Linked DNA regions of Drosophila melanogaster. The protein of the gene in region 1 interacts with the protein of each later gene in a pairwise test. Each region holds a gene or a part of one and is shown in the gene's direction. Other genes may lie near its edges. The genes, in order: scb and Itgbn.

Region 1 (4,899 bases):
TAGCTGCCCCCGATAGCGGAGGATGGGGGGTCATGAACTTCAATTATGTGCCTGGCAGTGTGGCGTGGCACCTCCCCCTTCTGCAGTTGCGGCCGTGTTGCTGCTGCTGTTGCAGCAATCGCTGTTGTTGCTGCTGGCGTGCAGTAACACATAATTGCTGTCAAATCGCCTGGCGGGCGCTTAATTGCGCATTTCAATAGCGGCCTGGTCCAAAAAAACACTTGCTATGCGGCGTTGGAAAACCGAATTAGCCGCCCTTTTGAACTTCTTTTGTTTACCCGAATGAATCGCTGGCAAACATTCAACTTTCGAACTTTTAAAGAGAATTTTATTTATGAATCGTATTGGGAGCATTCGACTTGTGAATTGAGTTTTATGGCGCGTAATCGGCTGTTGTAGTTTCGCTTATCGGTGGAAACGACTTGCCAGACCTCAGACCCCACTTTTGTTTTATTAGTTTTTATTGTTTTACATTGACTTGATAAACGGCGGGCTCAGGCTGCGTTGAAAATGAAAATCAATTACTGGGCGCACAAACAGCCAGCGATCTAAGCGCGGTTTTCCAACTTATCAGCTTGAGGCAACCGATAGCTGGAGGAAAAGTCAACTAGAGTACACCCCTGTCGATCTAATTGAACCCCTGAACCACTGAACCCCCCGTGCTGGGCACAATTTCATGTCACCGGATCGTAAAGTTAATAAATTGTGGTCACCACCACCCAACCTACCCCAATGATAAACGTTGAACGGATAAGGCAGCACGAGGGGCATATACTACTTTATACTTACAATAAATATTTGCCCTGGGGCCCGCTGATAAGCCATTTGATCACCATGCCACGGCAGCCAAGTTCAATGACAGCAGTACGCCGTTCAATTCGGGTGGCCATTTGCCTGGGAATCGTGATCGGCATCCTTTATGTCCGCCATATGCTCTCCGTTTCCACTGGCACTCATCCACATCCCGAAAAGGAATCACTCGGAGAAAATATTTTAAAATACGAATGTAGATTATTTAAAAGTAGAACTAAATAAAGAATAAACATTACTTATCTTTTAAGTATAATACATAAGAAATAAATTAGGAATAAGTGCAATAACTACGAACTAACAAGTACATTTCCATAAAAACAATTTCCTTTCTCTCAGTGTGCAGATCTTGATGAGCCTTAAAACATTGTAAATATTAATTATAACCAAATCTACCAGATGATGAGGAACAAATAAGCTGGCCTGTTTCCATATATATAAAGTCGGGATTCCTTCAATGAGTATTAATAAGAAAATACGGCTCCCAGTTGGAACTCCATGGTGACAGGCGTTTGCTTTTTTACCCACTTACTTGTACTCTCGCACTTGGGTGTGCGTTTATTTGTGTGTGTGCGTTCGTTTGTGTGTGTGCGAGGGTGCAGCAAACGCGTAGGGGGAGTGTAAATGCAAGTAGCGTGCGAACAAGGAGAGCCACCACCACAAATGGTCGCAATCGAATTGAGAATGCACTGACAAAAACCGGTACTAGATATACCATAGTATTGTTAAACAAAATCAAGTGTAGGTATAAAATATAAAGCACTAATAGACTATATATAGATAGTTCTTATAACAATATATTAGATACTAAAAAAATATATTTGAAAACCTTAAAGTTTTATTGTTATTATCAATGATCATCAGAAATCTCAGCGCAACCATGTTTGTAAACACACACTACAGCAGGTCAGAACATCTCTTTCGACCATCGTGTTGGGTGGACACATCGGCCAGCAGAATCGACGGTCGTCCAAGTCTGCTGCAGCACTTGAATTCATTTCATTTCGGTTCGGGTCGTCGAAGAGTGAAAACGTCCAGCACTGATCTGTTGCCCCGTTTATGGACTAGCGTTGCGGAAATAAAACACCATATATGCTATAGGCTATATGCTATATGCTATTTATTAGCTATTAGCTACACATCAGTGCAGAGATACGGCGCGGTCGAGTAGTGCGATTAACAACGACTTGTCGCCGGCAAAAGTGACAAGAGCCAAAACAAGTTTGCCACCTAGATCTCGCGAGAGATTTGCGAAAGCCGCCGGCTGGGCTTAATTAAATTAATATAATTTCGAGAGAACGCCGCCGCCATACAGCAGCGATCTCGAGTGTGTGAGTGCTTCAATTAAATTCAATAAATCATAAATAAGTGAGTGCCAACGGATCCTGTTTCAGTGGTGTGGCTCTCTGGCGCAATTGTGATTTATTGCCCTCAGAAGAGCCGGGGTCCATTCAAGTGAAATTACCAAAATTACGAAATTACGAATGCGAAAACTTAATTTTGATGAGTTCCAATGAATGCTGAATCGACAATGTTCCCTCACATATTCCTCGCCCTCTTGGCTCTGATCTCTCACATCGAAGCATTCAATTTTATGCCGCGACCCAGTCGGGTGATAAACTCCCCGAAGCATCTGAAGTTCCACATAAACCAGACTCGCAGCTCCTACTTTGGATACACGCTTGTCATCCGCCAGACCAGGTGAGTTACCTATTTTCCAGCTGTAGATCGCGGCAAATATTTGCATACATACGTGTAAGGGTCTGGAGGGAGATTCTTCCATACTTCGAAAACATACTTATTTCGATAACCGATCAACATATTTCTTATGTTTGACGCAAGACAAGCGAGTGCTTTCAGTTGCAAGCCAACACACCTCTGTCAATATTTTGAAACTTCTGGCATACGGAAATGGAAACTGAAGCTTGCGAAAGGGGATCGACAGAAGTCGAGGCTCGACAAAATTAGTATCGGCTTGGGTGGTTTATTGGCACTTAACACTCGGTCGCTCTATTTGCCAAGAAATTAAAATGTCATTTTCGCCAAGTCGTAAATGGGTGCTCAGCATAGGTTGTTCGAGTTTTGGGACAGAACTCTCATGGCATGTCGAAAACCCCAGCTTGAAAACCTCTCGAAAGCAATACCACTTCAGACCGAATTTTCTAAAAATAACAAAAAAAAAAAGAAACTGTCTACTTCAACTACAATTGCCACAGATCCGAGAGATCGCAACTCCGTCTCGAACAATTGACAAACCCGAACAATTTTCAGTGAGTCGGGCGACCTACATATCATATGGCGGCTACTTTTGTTGGTTTGCGGGCCCCAAAAAATGACATCACACACCTCAGTCGGCGCCACAAATCACAGTTAATTGAATAAGAAGAAAGTGGTCAGATCGAAGCTCAGATACGCTTTTTAAGATATTCTCGAGATATCTACTCTGTATTCTCTCTTAAACGAAAAAGAGAGATGATAGTTCATGCTTTGTAATTTATGTTAGAGTAGTTGAGGTTATGTATTTGCCAAAATTCAGGCCACAGCTTAGATACAAGAACTACTTGGTCAGTACAACCTTATCTGGTTTTAATTGAGGCGATCAGTAAACCTGGTTTGAATGCAGTACTCGTACGCGATCATAACGAGCTAGCTTTTGACCATATTTTATTTCCATAAACCTGGATGGGTAATTTGGAACTTCCTCTACAGTTCCCGCTCTTCCCCCCCCCCCTACATTTTTTTGTATTACCAGCACTTTGGATCCCAAAATACCCATGACTCTTGGCTATTACGAAGTGCGCCTAATTATGTACGGAAATTGCGCGTAAAATCACGACAAGCCGTAATTTATATCACATCAATTGAAGTTAGCTGAAACAAACAAAAAGTGTAGTTCTTGTTTACGGTCTCCCAATGAAATTAGGGCTGAATTCGAATCCAATGCGGGGGAAGTGCATCCACTCACAGTTTCCCAACACCACTTGCATTCTGGCGAAATGAGTCACAAATGTTTCCAATCCGATTTGGAGGCGATGGCGTCTGCAGACCTGCCCCCATCCGCATCCCCGCCCTCCGAAGAGTTCGTCCGTTCAGCTGACACCACACACAAATATTTTTAGCCGTCTTACGCTGGGTCATTAAACCGAATTCCTTATAACAAAAACAAAAAAAAAACACTGAAGACTCCACAACGGAAAACGGTGCAGCATGGTGGCTTTTGTTCTTAACATTTGATGACCGCACGCTGCAGCGGTTCTTTGTTTTTGTTTGGCTGATGGAGATGGCGCTGGAGATTTGTGTGGTCCGCAAGATGTTTTATTGTCCGCGCACAAAAACGGATAAACGTTCCTTGTTCGGCATTTAAACAAAGCGCCATCGCACCAAAAGCGTACTTTTACAAACGAAATTATACTATTTAAAAGAAATTTCACATTTCAATTATGTTAGCATGCTGTTGTATGCCATACAACTATTTTTTAGAAGACAATTTGCAAAGATATATAAAGTTGCAATATATTTTAAAATACTTTAAGTTAGTTTATTTTTTTAATAACTAATAGGTTATAATTGTAAGGTGACTGTTTTGTGAAACAGATGGTGAAAAAAATATAGTTCTTCAAAAAGTCATTCAAATCTTCCTAAAATAAATTAAGTTAACAGTTGTAATACAATTTATTAAGTTTCTGTTTAATTTCTGCTCACACTGAATTGACCACCGCTGTAGTTATGCACAAAGGCCATGGAAAAAGTTGGGGCTTGGGGGCAGATGCGTGTGCAGACATGGTTTACTTGGCCATGACTCATGTTTTGGGAAAATACGTAAGCGACAACCCATACTTTGTATTACAGCTGAGATACGCCGAACGTTCAGTCCAAAACAAATGTTGGCTGACTGTTTTTAGGCCTCACACCACTTTATATTCAGCATAAACAATTTCTGGATCAGGTAGCCAAAGTGGCATGTGCTTGTTATTCGCCTATTTAAATATGTTGACTCTTTTTTTGAGACTGTCGTTTTTTTTTTCTCGCATGCAATTAAGCTCCAACCATTTGACTCGCGCCGAGATGCGGATAAAGTTACGCCTGAAA
Region 2 (7,515 bases), on another chromosome or scaffold:
CGGTATAATCCAATAATCCAACACGAAACAGCGTGTGCAGTGGGAATTGCAAAAACTAGAGAGACACAGCCACACACACACAAACACATGTAGACTCAACCGCCTACACACACGCACACAGTTTAGCCGCTTTGTTTAGTAAATTAAACTTTTCACTTTTCTCTGCCACGGAAAACCAAAATGGACAATTTTCTTATTCAATTTCAGTTTCTGTTTTCCTTTCCTTAGTTTTTCTGCTTTCTTTTCTTATTTTTCCAATCACAAAAACACAGATTAGCATAGACAAAAGCAAAAGCAAAGGCAACAACATCCAAACACACAAAACAAAAGCAAATGCACGACGCCTACAACAACAGCAACAACAAAGCGCCGCCGTAGTACACAAAAAATTCCTTTTTCGCTGCGCGTCGTCTCCTTGCAGATATTCATATATATATATATATTTATTTATGTATGTATGTGTATATGTACATTTTTATATTCCACAGAGCAATTCTATTTTGCTTACTTTTTTAATGACTTTTTCACCTTTGATTTTTTTGCCGCACTTTAATTTGACTGCATACTTTACATCTCCATCTCTATCGCACACTCACCGTTTAATTGAGAAAAACACACACGATCTCGTCAATTGGTCGCGTATTTGTCGCCGCTCATTTGGTAAACATTTGGAGTTTTTCATCCGATTTTCCGCTACAAACACAAAAAATGCGAAACTCCGCGCTCCGCTCCAAAGCTGAACCGTTCCGATTGAAAATCGTCCGCTGTACGACCCCGCGATTTGAAAATTTTTCGCCGACTGGCCGTTTCATGAGTGTTTCAGTATTTTGCTGCGTCTTTTTACCCACGATTTTGGTCACACTACTGCGCCATCCATCTCTTGTTCACACAGCCATTTCATAAAATGAAAGAAGAGGACAACAACATAATGGTAAAAATGTTTTTTCTCCGCGGGGTTGGTCACAGGATAGTAAGACCATGGCTCGGCTGGAGAATTATACCGCCCGAAGAGAGTAAGAGAGCACTAACTTAAGACCAGTTTTGACAAATTGAGCCTAACAGTGTGACCAGTAATTTCCTAATAAAATCGTTATTCTGACTTATATATTAAATAATTTAAATTCTATTTTACGTTTAAAATCATAAAAGCAATCTGAAAAACACAAGACTAACATTATGCCAACCGATAGTCCTATTCATTGTGTTATTTAATACAAATTTTTCTAAGAGAAGACTTGCACTAAATGAACAAAATTTTTTTTATTAAATTTGTATAGTTTTGCTTATGTGTAGCTGTTGGTTTGTTGTTGTTTGCTTTAGACTCTTTCATATGAATTCGTCTTGGTTTATTTTAGTATTTTCGGTCCCTTACAAGCTCTGACGGCTACAAAACTTGTGGCTCCACATATTTAAAGTACAAATATGTAACCCCTTCTCTACCATTAAATGGGAGCTGGTCTATAATATATTTCTAATGGGATGGAATTTTTAAAACAACTAGACATAAAAGTATACTTTAAGGTTTTGATTGTGACTAAATATGATATCTAAATAAATAAAGAAATGGATCTCCAAATAAATATACATATATTATGTATATACTTTCCAAACACTAATATTTATTTAAACAAAACATAAGAACGATAGCAGTGCATTTTTTATGTCTTAAAATGTAGTGAGTTAGACAACACGTGAATGAAATTTGCTTTCTTTTATTATCACTTATTACTCTCATTTATTTTTAAGAGTGCCATTTATTCTAATCACATCATTTTCCCAATAACTTCTCACATTTTTTGTCACTCTCTCCTGATAAGATACGAGCGGAGCAATCAACGTTTTTCGTACTGAACAAATATTAGTTACGCTGGACTTCTAAGGCCGAACGGTCGCTAGCTCCCTTAGCAAAAAAAATATATGTGATCGTTGGTAGTGAAAATTGCACGCATTTTGAAAATGACGTCACTGGGCGGAAGGGCGTTCTTGTGGATATATTTGGTTTTTCTAATAGCTGAGATCTCTCATTCGGATGCAGATTCAATTGGTTTGTTAGCCGGCAGCTTTGACGTGACATAACGGATTTGTTATCGCCATCTCTTTTACGCAGATGATCAGTGCAGGCACGCAGACAGCTGCGAAAGATGTTTATCCGCTCATCTGGAATGCGCTTGGTGCACGGACAAGGTGAGTACGAGGGAGATGGCAAGAAAACATAAACGGTTCCTACTGCTGCTGTCATCCTTGCGAAGTCAATCATTTTCCTATTTGGTTGCATATCAGGAATACCAGGTGGGATATCGTTGTCTCTCTCGCCGGCAACTACTTAACTACAACTGCAGTGAAACGGATATATACGAGAACCAGCCGGTCCTAGATGTCCTTCAGGATAAGCCCCTAAAGGACTACGAAACCAGTGATCAGGCTGTCCAAGTCACACCCCAGCGGGCATACCTTAAGTTGGTCAAAGGTGTGTGTTTGGATAATTGTTTTATTTAGCTTTTCTTATCTTATCAAATTTGATTTATCATGTGGCTACCAACACTTTTTCATGTGTGTCACCCTTCCAATTCTTCCCCACTACTTCGTATTTGTTCCACATTTGCTCCACATCATTTTTAAACATTTTGTTTTTGTGTCCGTGCTTTGCTTATCAGGCCTTGGTGGTTGTCACATCTTGTTATTGTTGTACCATTTAGCGTGGGAATACCTATCCCTCTCTTTCTTTCCGCCGTCCTTGTCCAACACTTTTGAAAGTTCACTGACCCAAAGACATTATAATAATTATAATCTAATGTCTGATTGAAAACCCACTTTATAGGTATTGAGATACTTACCTTATAAGTATTGTGATCCCAGAACTAATAGATTATGTATTCGTTGTCGTGCTGAATAAGCGAGCAAAAATGAGTCACAAGAATGTGCTTTTGTTGTTTATAAGTTTTCTCGAGGGTTGAATAATATTTCAATGAGTAAAACGCGATTAATTTCAAAAAAAAAAAAACATACATTAATATTTTGGAGCTTTGATCCGGAAATACTCAACTAATTTCTACATATATCACTAACTTCTAAGATTAAATCACAGAAAACCACAACCTATAATTGTATTTTATTATTTTTAGTTGTTAACCCATTTTGGGGTAGTTATTTTTAGCATACAGACCCAACTAGCACTTTTATTCCTTAGTCTCCATAATGCATTTGCGTTTATCTCAATTGATATGGTGCTAAGTTGTTTTCATCGAGCCGCATTTTGATGTCTGTCAATAATTTTGATTCTCCAAGAGCTTGTTAACCAATTTAATAACCATTAGCATCGCTTGCGTAGAAATCTAGCTAGGTTAAGAAAACCAGTTATTAAGCACAAACAGTGGTATAGGGAAGTCGGTTAATTGCACGCTTAAGGATTACAAGGAAGCCAAACATTTATCCTGGGTGTGAACTGGCTCAAGTGGTAATCAATGGTTACAAAGCAGCAGTGAAGTGCACAGAGAAAATGAGTTGACACGCAATATTTCTTTTCATCTTTGACGAAAAATTATTTATTTATTTTAAATATTAACAGAACTTTTTTCTCAAAGGCCGACATAAAATTGAGTGCTTTAAAATGTAACACCCTAAAATGCACTTCAGTGAATACTTAATTTAAAAAGCTATAGTTTTTCTCACTGCGAGACTGAAATGGGTGCAGAATATATATCAGACTGGTTTCAGCTTATGTAGATGTGTCAGCCCATAAAACAGCTCATAAACAAGGTTGCCTTTCAGGTGCATAGTAAACCGATCTATTACCTTTTATTCCTTTTTGTCTTACAGGAAACACGCAAAGAATGAAGCTGAGCTATAGAACTGCACGCAACAATCCACTCGATTTGTACGTATTGATGGATCTAACCTGGACAATGAGGGATGACAAGAAAACCCTGGAGGAGTTGGGAGCCCAACTCAGTCAGACTCTTAAAAATCTAACAGGAAACTACAGATTGGGATTTGGTTCTTTCGCGGACAAGCCAACTCTACCCATGATTCTGCCACAGCATAGGGAAAACCCCTGTGCTGCGGAGCGGGCCACGTGTGAACCAACCTATGGATATAGACATCAACTTTCGCTAACCGATGATATACCAGCGTTCACCTCAGCCGTGGCGAACAGCAAAATCACTGGAAACTTGGACAATCTCGAAGGTGGCTTGGATGCTCTAATGCAGGTTATAGTGTGCACCAAGGAAATCGGCTGGAAGGAACAAGCTCGAAAAGTGGTGATCTTAGTGACCGATGGCTTTATGCACTTAGCGGGGGACGGTCTTCTAGCAGGTATTATCCAGCGCAATGATAAGCAGTGTCACCTGAATAAAGCAGGTGAGTACACGGGTTCATTGAACTACGACTACCCCTCGCTGGAAGAAATCTATCGGGAGTTGCTTCGTCGCAAGATTAATGTAATCTTTGCTGTCACCGAGGAGGTTGTAAGTAGCTATTGGGAACTCAGTGCCCTAATGAAGGAAATTAGTTACGTGGACATCCTAAGTGCTGATTCCTCTAATATATTGGAACTAATCAAAAAGAGGTAAGTGGGGCGGTAGTACTCTTCTTAGATCCTAAATCTCATTAGTTCTACCTTTTAGCTATGAGAGTTTGATTAAACGCACTCAGTTTGCCGATAACAGCCCGGATTTTATTGACATGGCTTACTATACGGATTGCGGTGGTCAGTTTCCCAGCTTACAAAAGCGGAATTACTGCAATAACGTCACTCTGGGCAAGCAGATTGATTTCTACGTGGACGTCACTCTCAAGAAATATCCCGATAATCAGGTTTATGTAAGACAAACAATACTAAGTGGAAAACAACAATTTAATTCAAGGATAATCTTTTGGATATATGTTTGCACAGTTCACTTACCACTTCATTCTCTTTCGCTTTTAGACACACAAAATCCGGGTGGAGGAAACCTCCTTGAGCGAGTTCATGGATTTGGATGTTGAGCTTCAGCGGCCGTGTCCCTGTCAGGAAACACCAGATCCGGAAAACGAGGAAGGACGTTTCCTGTGCGATTATAAGGGCTATTTGTACTGCGGAATGTGCGAATGCGATGAGGGGTGGACTGGGACCTATTGCAACTGTCCCACAGATGCCACAAATGTCACCAGCAATGAAGCTCTGCTCCAGAAATGCCGTCAACCGTTTTCGGATAAATCCACCTCCGAATTGGTTTGCTCCAATCACGGGGACTGTGACTGCGGAACTTGCTTGTGTGATCCTGGATATACGGGTCCTTTTTGCGAGTGTCGCGAATGCCTGGACTGCGATGAAAAGCTGGCTGATTGTTTCTGCGGCCAATGCGTTTGCAAATACGGATGGTCGGGTAGCAAATGCAACTGCGATGGGGATACCGATGCCTGTGTGGGACCCACGGGCGAAATATGCTCGGAAAGAGGCACCTGCCAGTGCGAGGAGTGCCAGTGTGAGGAGCCGTATTTGGGTAAATTCTGTGAAATCGATCCAGAGAAGGACAACAAACTTTGTTTGTTCTACGAGCCCTGTGTCACATGTCTGATCGAGCAAAAACAGGGAATGGGCGTCTGCGAAAACTTGACTGAAATATGCAGCAGTTTGGATAGACAAGAAACCTATCCATACAACTTTGTCCACGAGCTGGATCCTGAGCAGGATCAATGCTTGGTACGACTGGTGAACAAACATGGCATCCAATGCGACAGCTTCTTCGTCTATCAGGTCATCGACCACTCAAACTTCTTGACCATCCAGGCAGTTGATTGCGAGCCCCCGGATTACGTGGCTCTGGTGGGATATATATCGGCATTTACGCTGCTCATTGGACTTTTGATCATTTTCATAATTCTGTGGTACATTCGAGCTAAGGATGCCAGGGAATATGCCAAGTTTGAGGAAGATCAGAAGAATAGTGTCCGACAGGAGAATCCAATTTACAGGGATCCAGTGGGTAGATATGAAGTGCCCAAGGCGCTAAGTGTTAAGTATGATGAGAATCCTTTCGCAAGTTAACATGAAAAATGTTTTTTTTTTAAGATATTAGATTGTACTTTGACTTAAAATTTTCTTCAAAATTTGTGTATACCCGTTACTCGTAGAGTGAAATTATACACTAGATTCGCGTTGAAAAGTATGTAACCGGTAGAAGTAAGCGTTTCCGTTCATATTTTAGTTTTAGTTTATTTTCTTGATCACAATACATAGCCGAATTGATCTGGCCTTGTCTGTCCGTCCGTCCGTTTGTTTTTTTTTTTTTCTAATTTTGTTCCCATTTTCTGTCGGTATTCCAAAAAATCTCTCCTTCGCATTTTTACTTGATGAGTAATGGATAGCTGATATTCGGTTAACTCGACTATAGCATTCTCTCTTGTTTTTAAGCTATTGTAACTCAAGAATTACGAGTTCACGAAGACATTAATACAAATATAAATTTTAGGTGTTTATTAAAAAGTATTAGCCCCGTTCAGAAATAACATTCCAATTCCAAGACTGGTCACAACAATAGCACTATTAAGATCAATAATTTTATATAATATATTTAGAACATAAATTTGTTTTTTATACATAGAAATTATATGAATTAGTTCAAAAACTCGTGTATATCTACGCTAAATGAGCTAAAATTTATTACAGCTAAAAAACGAGTAAACGTATAACAAAGTTAGCTTTCAGTTTTCGTATTGGACAGCTCCTTTCAGCGATTGTATTCATATAAGTACAAAAATAATGGCTTAAGACATCGTTTACATTAATCCGCTTGGGGAGTATAGATGACTACTGGCAAATCGGAAATGCAAAACATTACCTTAACTTAAGAGGCATTACAAAAATACAATTCGATTAATTAAGGCTAAACGCTTTCCCCTTCAATCTACTTTAACTAAATATAATATCACTAGATTCGTAGCTTAGACTAAGTATTGGTTCCTCGCGGCCAAAACGCCAAAAACACGAAATTCAATTACACATGCTCGTACCTCCACGTTGGAAAAAGAATAATGTAAATACAACAACAGCAGTGGATGATGCGCCCTTGGTGTTGGGCGCTCAAAGGACTCGCTCCCCCAGCGACGGTGTCCTTTGGATGAGCATCGAGGGTGGCTTCGCCGGCAGAGTAACGCTACTTAGCTCAGCATCCAAAGCGGCGATATCGGCGGCCGTCAACTTGGAATTGGAGTTCAGCGGTACGGTGGGAACGGCTATGGAGCTGGGCAGGCCGTGTGGGGAGGCGTCGGGCACCAGGCGCTTCAACAAGCCACCCACGCAGCCCCAGGGGAAGGTCCTGCGAAAAACAAGGAGGGTGGGTGAGTAAAGGTGGGCCCAGGCAAAGGTAAATATTGTGCATTATTTAGGAGAAACACATTAAAGCGAGACCATTAGGCATGTGGACGGGGTGCGCTATGATTTGGGGTAGGGGCTACCTACCCTTCTCTAGGGCTTTTCCTTTGCTCGACTAAAGAAAATATTGGTAACAATGGAAATTTGTTTTGTATATTTTT

What was found.
Region 2: the proteins of scb (region 1) and Itgbn interact in binary tests that used the Drosophila melanogaster proteins (3 or more experiments, as listed by UniProt).

Annotation. Positions count from the first base shown.
Region 1 is NT_033778.4:15,246,973-15,251,871, forward strand, and holds the start of scb (scab), read left to right. Parts: upstream 1-1,811; 5' UTR 1,812-2,323; coding exon 2,324-2,511; intron 2,512-4,899. UniProt on the Drosophila melanogaster protein: Integrin alpha-PS3/beta-PS is a receptor for laminin. Also binds to wb. Important during embryogenesis for the development of the trachea, dorsal vessel and salivary gland, as well as for dorsal closure. Required for short-term memory processes.
Region 2 is NT_033779.5:21,051,178-21,058,692, forward strand, and holds Itgbn (integrin betanu subunit), read left to right. Parts: upstream 1-1,855; 5' UTR 1,856-1,956; coding exon 1,957-2,044; intron 2,045-2,107; coding exon 2,108-2,184; intron 2,185-2,280; coding exon 2,281-2,467; intron 2,468-3,816; coding exon 3,817-4,567; intron 4,568-4,625; coding exon 4,626-4,821; intron 4,822-4,927; coding exon 4,928-6,028; 3' UTR 6,029-6,867; downstream 6,868-7,515. Other genes in the region: CG42238 (uncharacterized protein), read right to left, coding at 597-682; CG9265 (uncharacterized protein), read right to left, coding at 7,064-7,298.